Linked DNA regions of Mus musculus: region 1 is reported to be linked to region 2. Evidence: microRNA targets listed by miRTarBase, many of them from high-throughput screens and not tested one by one. Region 2 holds a microRNA gene; the other region holds the end of a gene's coding sequence.

Region 1 (5,383 bases), not on the chromosome of region 2:
CAATCAAGCTCTCCCAATAAACATGTGCAGAAGGATCCTGTTGCAGCATAGTTCTTGCTGGTCGAGTCGGGTGCGCACAAGAATTAGTGTGATGTTCCATGGATGTTTAAGCATCTTTCCCATTCTCCTTTCATCCTCAATCAGCATTCCCTTCCCCCAGTATACACCCATGCCATACCACTTCATTCTTCCCCATTCCATTTATGAATTTCAGTGGTTCATGAGAAATATCTTATGCTCATTAATAGGAAAAGCTGTTTCACACAGAGGTGTGACTGTAAAAGAATTTAAGTCAGTAGGCAAAATGCTTACACATGACTTAAGGGAGGTCTAGAAGTATCCTTTATCCAAAGTTTTTGCATGAGGCCTCCAAAGCTACCTTCAGAAATTTGACTCCAGTTTAATCAATCACTCTGATTCAAACACACACACACACACACACACACACACACACACAGAGTTATCACTTGAGTCGTCCTGCCTTATCTTTAGACGAGAAAAAAAAAAAAAGGCCTTGCCAAAGGGAACAAAAGCCCCATGTGAGAGGGAAAAAACTGTTGTTACAAAGTGCCCTCCTTTTGAGGAATCACCAGGTTCTTCTGTCTAAGGATTCTTTATGGATTCTTTCTGTACTGTGAACCGCATTAGTTTCAGACTTAACCTATTTCACATTGTTGTCCTGTTTACTAGAATTGTATCAGTCAGCACAGATCAAACGGGTAGTTTCTATAGAATGATGAGAATTCTCTCCACGCCTTTCCCCACATGATGTCTGGCACTGCTCTTGCCAGCCATGACATGGCTATGTGGATATGCCTGTATGGGCAGGACATACGAACAGAAGAAGTGTTGCTAGGGCTGTCACTAAAGAGGGCTATTGCTATGTTTTCTGGTTTGTTGTTTGATCTTCTTTTACCCACTCCTGGTAATTTTACTCAATGATTGCTGGTATTGTGGTTCCTTCCTCAGTGGGTAAAGCATCCAAAAACAATTTGGCATTCAGGTGGTATAAACTGGATTTTTAAAAAAAGAATCAGGAACCCAAGAACAATTTAGTCATATCAAGCAAATTTTTAGCAGCACCTTTAATTGGCCTGCAATTATCAAAAGGAATTCTTACCTTTCAGAATGACACATAACTCCTAGGTCATCTAGTCTTTACTTCTCTATAAGGTCTCTCATGCTTGCTATTCACTTTTAGCTGATTATTGCGGACAACTATTTGGGTCTTTTTAAATTTTTTAAATTTAACTTTATTTTTTATTTATTCACTTTACATCCCACTCACTGCCCCACTCCTGGTCACCTCCTCACACAATACTTTCCCCATCTCTCCTCCTCTGAGTGGGTAAGAGTCCCTCTGGGTATCCCCACCCTGGCACTTCAAGTCTCAGTGAGGCTAGGCATTTCCTCTACCCAAAGAGGCCAGTTGTAAGCATATATTTTTCCCTTTGATTTTTGCTAGTAATGTGTAGGTAGGGTTATCCTTTAAGTCATTTTCAGGGTTCCTTTAAACTTGTTTTTTCCTTTATAAAAAATAATGCAGAAATAAAGCCTTCTCTTTAATAGGGACAGGTTCATAGAGATAGTGACACTACTCAAAGTTCAAGTCCAAAATGGCTTATACTTGACAAAGTTATTTTCTGTGCTTTGCAGAACTAGATTGTCTTGCAGAAAATGACATCCTGCATCCCCAGCTGCTGCGAAGACAGGCTGATCCCAATTTCTCATTAGGACTTGAAAATTGCAGTTGTAGGTTCTGATTACAAATTGTTTCTGGACCTGTCTTGTCTGTAATCACACTCCCTTCCATAGAGTATCTGATAGAAGGACTAAAACCTAGATCTTGCCTTGATAGGGGGTGAAGGGAAGTCTTAACAACCTTACTACCTTCCCATTCGAATGTGCTGAGTTTTCAGTTGCAACTGCATTGCACACTGACTGTCCTCTGCACAAACTTACCTTCCTCATCCTTTTTAGGATGCTGTCTCTAGCAAACTTTCAGCATCTTGGTCTATTCCTAGGAAATCCAAAAAGTGATAAGAAATAATGCTAGCAATAGAATACATTAATCACATAGACGATATCAAGCACAGGACTGTCTTTCCACACATGAGTAAATTGAGGCAGAGAAACCAAATGATTTTCCCAAGGCATCGTAAGGTAGTTAGGTGAGAAAACTTGTCAAAATCCACACCTGTGGCCCAGTCAGGCCTACTATAGTATTATAGCATTTGATCTATTCCCAGTCAACCTTCATTACATGAAGATCAAACCAAGTGTTAAGAATTTGGAGTTGCATTATCAGGTGCTTTTAAAAAGTTCATCCTCTGTAGACTTCTGGCAATAAGAAGCCATTTGAAGCTTTTGATAAACTATTAGCCAAATCAGAGAAGCCTATCTGAATGAAGGATGGCATCACATTTTATTAAGAACAACAACAAAACTCAGTACCACACAGACAATATCTTACTTCAGTGGCAAATCAAATACATATGCATATGCCCATATGTAGCTCTGTGGCCAACTTTATTTTTACGTGGAACATTAGGTACCAAGTTTACAACCATCAAGCAAAACATAGTTCACAGTCCTTCAGTAAAGTTTAAATTTATTCAGTGTAATATGAGATCATATTTAACAGCTATGACAAAAAGATGTACTTTTAAAAAACCAATTCTCATCCTAACTATGGAGAAAGGCCAACTGGCCATCAGATCTATGAAGGGGATTATCAATCTCTTGAAATGATTTTTGTTTCTCTGTTGCAAAGTAAAGGGCAATGTTAACTTTGTGGTAGACAGCCTCACATATAGTGCTACTTTTTTTTTTAATTTTTTTATTACGTATTTTCCTCAATTACATTTCCAATGCTATCCCAAAAGTCCCCCATACCCTTCCCCCACTCCCCTACCCACCCACTCCCACTTTTTGGCCCTGGCGTTCCCCTGTACTCGGGCATATAAAGTTTGAGTGTCCAATGGGCCTCTCTTTCCAGTGATGGCCTACTAGGCCATCTTTTGATACATATGCAGCTAGAGTCAAGAGCTCTGGGGTACTGGTTAGTTCATAATGTTGTTGCACCTAGAGTACTACTCAGCTATTAAAAAGAATGAATTTATGAAATTCCTAGGCAAATGGTTATACCTGGAGGGCATCATCCTGAGTGAGGTAACACAATCACAAAAGAACTCAAATGATATGTACTCACTGATAAGTGGATATTAGCCCAGAAACTTAGTATACCCGAGATATAAGAGACAATTTGTAAAACACATGAAACTGAAGAAGAACATAGACCAAAGTGTGGACACTTTGCCCCTTCTTAGAATTGGAAACATATAGTGCTTCTTAATTCCCGTTACATGTCTAAACACATGGGCTGTACTGGAAATCATTTTAATACCCAGACTGTAGCTTAATAGGGTTGATATCATTAGGATAGATCAACTGGTTTTCTAAAAAGCAGAGAGTAAACTGCAAACTCAGGAGGTTTTCAATATTCAACAGTTTAGTGTTAACAATCTGAATACTTTTAGACCTCTTGCCTATCCACTCCTTTAAATCATTTCAAGATGAGTCACGACTAAGTTAATACACACAACTGGAGCAGATTAGTGCTGAGAGCTCTCACTACAGTTTGATATGAATTGAGGCAACACCTTATGGACTGGAGAACATCTAAGACATCACTGAATCTTTTAAGTTAGTTAAAATGCTTTTGAATTATAAGATAGAGTAAGGTAAGAAATCTAGATCTTTGCTCTTAGACTGGGCAAAACTTTAAAGGCTGTAAGTCCACACATCAGCATCTAGAGGCTTAAATTTACATTTTGGATAAAGCTAGTATAATAAACTTGGGTTGGCCAGCATATGCTGACATAATTCTCCTTAAATAAAAACTATACTTACATTTTTTTTTAAAGTGCTTTGTGGTTGAAACCTTTGGAATTTTTTTTTTTAATTGACAGGATTTCAGATGGGAAAGAAAAAAATACAGGCACCATTCTGGACCCACAACTCTACTAAGATATAGAACCCAGTACAGATATATAAAATCATTCAATTTAATGTCTGTTATAAAACCTAATAATTAAAAGAGGTCATGTTATCACACAGAGCCCTAATTTCATTCTGTGTTTGACTGTAACAACAGAGAAAATTTCATATGTCCTTTGGCACTTGAGAGAAAATGGTATACTATCAACCAAGACAAATATTTAACCATTTTGAAGACACAGGTAGGCTTAGAAATCTAATTCTATGATCAGACAGCCATAGAACACATTAAAATAATGCTACTTTCCTTAAATCAGCACAGAATGTTACTGACAAGGAGCAATGCTTGTCTAGATACAGTCCAGAAAAGGAAGTGCCTATTGTAGTGTGCGTCACATGGAACTAGTAATCAGTGAGGATACCTAGGGAACATTTCAGCCACTATTTTCCTCTGTACACATTGGATGCTACACAAAAGTCACAGTAAGTCAAGTTATTTTATTTCTGAAACCATTAGCTGTTTTGCATTAAAGGCAAAAGAAAAAAAAAAACAGAATCCAGAAATTATTCCTCATAAGCACTTAACTTTTTGAAATTAAGCACTCAACATTTTATTCTATCAACCAACACAAATTAGTCTAACAAACAAGATGAAACTCATTCTTATGGAAATTAGCTAGGTGATTCTTTGGACTGTTACCACTTTACAAAGACTGAAATTAAACTGAGCAGGGTTAAATCAAGTGCACTTAAATTGCCCAAACCACAGGCTGTAATTCATCCTCACTTTCCTTTACATGCTCATTGTGCTAAGGATGATCAAGCAGGAGGCCTGTGGGTGAAAACTTCAGGACTGGGGCTGTTTAAACTTGTACAATACAAAGCAGAGAAGAGCCACAGAAGTGGAAAAACCAGTGATCTTGAGCAGACCAGGCACGGAAGGCAGGTTCCTCTCTAAGAAGGTGTGGGTAATTTCAAGAGCTGGAACATCCTAAACAGATGAACACAGATCATTAATAGAAATTCTTGCTATAGTTAAAAGAAACAAAGCCTATCTGTAGTAGTATGTATTTCTATGCTAAGACAGTTGCATCTATAGTAAAAGCAGAGGCTAAATGAAGGACAGTGCAATTTTATGTGCTGTAGTTGGTCTGTAGATATGGAGTAATCAAACTTACCTTGGACTCAGGCTCTTGAACCCATATATCCTTCTTGGCAACTTTTCCTAGAGCATTCAAGACCTGAAAGAAAGTGATTACAGCATTATACTGTGACATTATATACTGTTAACAGATTCAAAATCATATTAAACATTGGTGAACCCACAGGTGGGTGGCAAAGAAATGCATACATAGCATACATAGACTATCAGTATCAAGAAATA
Region 2 (5,383 bases):
TGAAATCAATTTAGTGTCAACCACATCAGCCTTCCCAGAATTGTAGGTTTTGCAGAACCTGAAAATGGAGCTTGTTTATTTGGTCAAATTTAACTGCGAATCATAGGCTTCTGCAACAGAGAGAAAAAGTCAAAACAGATTGCAGGCGGGTCGCGTCCTCGGCGGCATGCTTGTCTTCTGCCTCGCATCTCGCCCAGCCCCGCATAGGCAGTTGAGTGTGGGAGATTGTAAGGGTGCTGTCTTTGGATGCCACCTTTGCTGTTTGCATTTAGAAAGACTGTTGATGAGAGCTTCCTTTCGGATGGAGAAAATACTGACACGGATCAGAGACCTGTAAGGTGGCAGCGTCATGGAGCCCAGAGAACCCAGGGTCACCAACGAGACTTGCTCTGAAATTGCCCCATTTTCTCCGGCTGAGAGAGAATCTATCTGGGAGACAGAGCGCAAGGCACCTCAGGGTAACTGTTGGCATCCAAATGAAAAAAGGAGAGAATTCGGAATGTTCCCAGGTACCTATGAGCACTGGAGGCTTTTCATAAAGCCAGAAAGAGTCCCCACATAAGGGTTGCCAGGGCTTCATGCCAAGCTGAGACTGTGTTCCCTGGACTCAGTGGGGCTTTGGCACTGACTGAGACAGAAGAGCCCACTACACCTAATCCATTTGTGATGGTTTGGCGACAGCCTTGGTGACGGTGACGGTGAAGTCTCTGAGTTGTCCCACAAGTCTAGGAAAGCAGCTGGCTGTCAGCTCTCAGAACTGGGGTGAGTGGGTAGGAAGGCTGAGGCCACCACAGAAAGCTTTTGTCTCTCTCTCTCTCTTAAGGCCACCTCGTCACTGGGGAAAATGCACTTGGCTAGCACTGAAGCCAGGGCCAGCTTTCCTGTGTGTCATTTTCTGGGAGAAGCAGGTTTCTATTTAATCCCTCCCTATGGTGGGTGTGTGGAAGGAGCTGTATCAGGAAGCAGAGTTCCTAACGGACACCCCAGAGGGAACCGAACCAGAGCAATGAAAGATCTTCCCATGCCATTGTTGTATCTCCCAGGAGATGTAGATCCCAAGTAGCATGTGGTTCAGGTTCTAGGACGTCCTCACGTCTTTCTGAAAGGAAGGAGAGAACTCATCTGCAAGCTGGTTCTGGGACCGTGCTCCAGGCAAGCATTCAGACCACCATGCCACTCCCTTGTGAAACTTGCAGTCCATTGTCAGGACACAGGAAAGCACAAGTGTTCACATAGGTGCAGAGCCAGGGTGGGCCAGGGGCTCAGTCTCACTCTCAGGACAGTGTGAGCATTTCTCACAGCCGAGAGACTGATGTGTTCTGTGTCAGAGGCCTCTTGTTCCTCTCCCTTTAAATCAAACCTTGTAAGGGCGGAGGAACAAAGTGTGTGTGTGTGTGCATGTATGCATGTATGTGTGTGCGCGTGCGTGTGTGTGTGTGTGTCTGCTCACATCACCCAGCTGGATGTGGAAAGGTAGAATCTGAATCCATACCTCTTGCCTTCTATGGGATATTTAATATTCAAGCTAATTCTCAAAGCTACTGTCCAGTGGATTAAATTGACAGAAACTGATTTTTGGGGACCACTCCAGACTGGAAGGTGAGCTGAGAGCTGAGTATTTGGCTCCAGTGTGTTTGCATTGGGGGGCAGTGAGGCACAGAGATGACCCCTGCCTGAGTTTTGCCTGTCAAGTCCATATTCAGTAGTGGAAGATGCCTTTGAACCTAGGAGGGTAAAGCGAGCTTCTCGGCCAGGCTGTAGGAGGAGGCAAGCAGACTCCCTATGATGGCACGGGCTCAGTGAGTTCCAGCAATGACCATCTGGCCAGCTAGCTATGTCTCTCCCCCCTGATCATGGCCTAGGTGGAAGAGCTTAGTCCTGGATGAGGCCGTCTAAGCAGGAACTCAAGCGGAAGGAAATGGCTGTCTGGGTCAAGGTCAGTTCATAGGAGGATTAGATTTTATTCAAAGACAATAGTATGAGACACAATATGGCTTTAATTCCAGTTCAAAGAGACAGCCCAATTTTTGAGTTTCAGCGTAATAGATGCTGTCTTGAAGCTGGGCAGGACCTCCCACCTTCCAAGTGTGACAGCTAGCTGTCCCTCTGGTCCTCTCAGAAGCTGCCACTAAAACCAGTTCCTAGCCGGAGCTGAAGGATTCCATTTGTTACAGGGAATATTAGTTAATTTTCTATTGCTGTGATAAAACACCTTTGACTCAGAGCCATGCGTTTACCACAGTTGGCCTCTTAGGTTCTGGGAGAGAGCTGCATGCCTGTCCAGTCATAACACATAGTTGAGAACCTGAGGCGCCTGAGTGCCTGAGTCTTGGACTGCCATCCTACACTTAGATTGTAGGCCCATTGGAAGGGTTAGCGTCTTGACCCCAATGAGCCTACAGTCTAAGTGTGGGATGGCGGAAGCCCTCAGCCAGACTGGTAGAAGTAGGGACTCCCACAGAGATGTTTTGCAAAAAGACATAAATGGCTCCATAGAGAAAGCTGGGGCTCCGCCTGGTGGCCGGCTGCAGACAAACAGTTCTGTCAGCCGAGGTTGGGAACAGGAAAAGCATTCCCCTCTGGTGGGTTTCACTTCGGTGGGATTTCCTGGGAGGAACTCTAGAAGAATCACCAAGAGCAGACACATCCTGGGAAAATGAAATAAAAACGTCTTCATGGCGAAGGCCCTGAGTACTTACCACTGCTAATCATCTTTAAGGGGGAGGGCATGAATGGACAGATTGACACTTTTCTGGTGGCCAAATACGATTCTGCTGAAGCTGTACAGGGCGACTACCCCTTCAGTTGCTTCCGGATCCTGCTCGTCCTCCGAGGAGAGGGTGGGCTGGACTGAGTGTCTTAGTTCTTGGGGACTGGATGCCTTGTCTCCAAATCTCTGCCCTTTAGCTTAGCTAGGACATTGCAAAATCGACCATAGGGGTGGGGATTCATTTCCTGCCCTGTGTTAAGTGAGGCTTTCGTTGGGGGTGGGGGTGGGGGGAGGAAGCAGCTTTGTAAGCCCGGGCAGTCAGTCTTGCGCCCCCTGTGTTTGTCTACATTGAGGCGCTTGTGCTGGTGAAGGTGAGGGACATGGAGAGTGGGGATGTGTGTGTGGCATCCAGGGCAGCAAGAGGCCAAGTGTGGGAACGGAGAGGTAGCTGTGAAGCCTGCTCTACCTCACTCCACGGGGTTAGTCATTTATCTCAGGGCTATTTTTAGAGCCATAATCTGAATTACGTTTCTTACGTTTTAATTATTAAAGAGTTATTACTAATTATGATCTTGATAATAACCGACCTTTACTGAGTTCTGAGTAAGCACCTAGGACTTCAGATGCCCTACAAGCTGTATTTGTAAAGCCTGATCTTGAGTTGTGTATAAATTCTTTGATTTGCATAACAACAGGCACTATGACTTCCAGTGTAAACATAACCTTTTGCCACAGAAAACCACAGTATTATTTATTTCATATTTCCCTTTGAATTCTGTCTTCTTCCCAAATACAGTTTAAAAGGAAGCCATATTTCACTGCTATAAGTGGAAAACTAGCAGTACCTGTCTTTAGTAAGCAGAATCTATTGTTTAACTTTAATTAAATAGCCATGTGCCCAAAATACCATTGGAACTCAGCGTTTGAGCTGCCTGCAATGTGGGTGGGTGGACCTTCCACACCAGAAACCCTGCAAGGAAAAAGGAAGCCATTTTGCATTTTGTGAAGGTCTCTACCTGGAGAACTTTTGCATTTATTTTGCTTTATTCAAATTCTGAGGTGGATGCTTAACTTTGTAAATATTTAGCTTTTCTTTTTTTCCTTTTCCTTTCTTCTCTTCTCTTCTCTTTTCTTCTTCTCCGTCTTCTTCTTTCTTTCTTTCTTTCTTTCTTTCTTTCTTTCTTTCTTTCTTTCTTTCTTTTTTTTTGCCCAGGCTGTCCTTGAAGTCATGGTATAGCATAGGATAACCTTAAAGTCCTGATCCTTCAGCCTTCATCTCCTGAGTCTAGGGTTACAGGTGTGTGTCACTGCCCACTACTCTTGGATTTCTTTAAACACACACACACACACACACACATATAAACACACACACATATACACATAAGCACACATACACAGGCAGGCATATACACATATTCACATACATGGGCACACAAACACATACATACACATATACACACAGCAACATACACACAAGCACTCATGTATACACACACAGAAACACGTGTACACATGTACACACATACACACACATATATACACATATACATACAAACACACACATGCACACATAAATACACATACAAACACGTACATATCACATACAAATACACACATACACACAAAACCACACATATACACACATATTCATACACAAACCCATACATATTCACACATGCACACACGGAAACATATACACATACATGCATACACATATACACACACACAAGCACACACATACACCAGCACACACACTCTCTCCACTGCTCTGGCTTCTTGTAGACTTTAATATGAAGATATGAGGTATTTATTTTTTCAGTATTGCTTAATTCTTCTCGTTTATGTTGAAATGCAAATACTCAGAGTCCACCTTGTTCCCAGGCATTCTGTCACATGCGGGCACAAGCTTTTTTTTTTTTTTTTTTTTTTGGTTTTTCAAGACAGGGTTTCTCTGTGTAGTCCTGGCTGTCCTGGAACTCACTCTGTAGACCAGGCTGACCTTGAACTCAGAAATCCGCCTGCCTCGGCCTCCCAAGTGCTGGGATTAAAGGTATGCACCACCACTGCCCGGCCCCCCACAAACATCTTGATACACATGTGTTGTTCTCCTTTCTGTCTGGCAGTCTTCCTGAAGACTTGCAGAGAAAAGCCTTCAGAAGGTGGCGTTTCTTTTCTGTCTGATCTCGGTTAAAGTGTCCTCTGTGTCTGATGCTCAGCAGCTTCAGTAGGATAGGCCAAGTGTGGATTTCGTTCTTCACCTTGTATTTTTGGGCCTAGGGCTTGATAGCTTTGGTAACTTCTAGAAGGTTTCTAGCCACATCTCTGCCATGCCATTTCCCCTGGTCTACACACCCTTGCTTCCTGACATCCCCTCACATCTTGCAGTTTTATTCTTTAATGGTCAGTTCATTTGCACAGTTTTTCCAAATACCGATTCTCTTATCTGAGGTCTGTCTGACCATCACACTTTTCAGTTCTGGCAGCAATCAGTTCCTTCTTCTCCATTCTCATATAGCCAATGCTACCCTCTCTATGTAGACAAGGCTGCCATTTAAGTCCCGACCTTCCTGCCTCTACCTCCTGCATGGGATGGCTAGCCGTCTTGGTTTTGTTTTTTTTTTAAATATGTCTGGACTCTTGACAATTTCTTGTTTCCTGAACATATATCCAAAC

What was found. The annotated mature microRNA mmu-miR-3086-3p reads CCCAAUGAGCCUACAGUCUAAG and lies in region 2 at 2,387-2,408, shown strand. An mRNA with a match to its seed (bases 2 to 7 or 8) in the 3' UTR can be bound and repressed. Matches are read on the target gene's strand: a 7mer-m8 pairs with bases 2 to 8, a 7mer-A1 pairs with bases 2 to 7 and ends in A, and an 8mer does both.
Region 1: miRTarBase lists Maoa as a target of mmu-miR-3086-3p. Seed matches in the 3' UTR shown: 7mer-A1 at 2,977-2,983 and 7mer-A1 at 2,867-2,873.

What each region holds. Positions count from the first base shown.
Region 1 is chrX:16,684,839-16,690,221 of GRCm38, reverse strand. It overlaps Maoa (monoamine oxidase A), which reads right to left. Exons shown (of 15, transcript NM_173740.3): 14 at 5,178-5,240; 15 at 2,410-4,990. The coding sequence ends at 4,847. Among named protein-coding and RNA genes, the nearest start is that of Maoa, 68 kb to the right of the region's middle.
Region 2 is chr19:58,908,711-58,914,093 of GRCm38, reverse strand. Mir3086 (microRNA 3086) reads left to right here and starts at 2,335; the gene lies at 2,335-2,421. It also overlaps a transcript of Hspa12a not described here.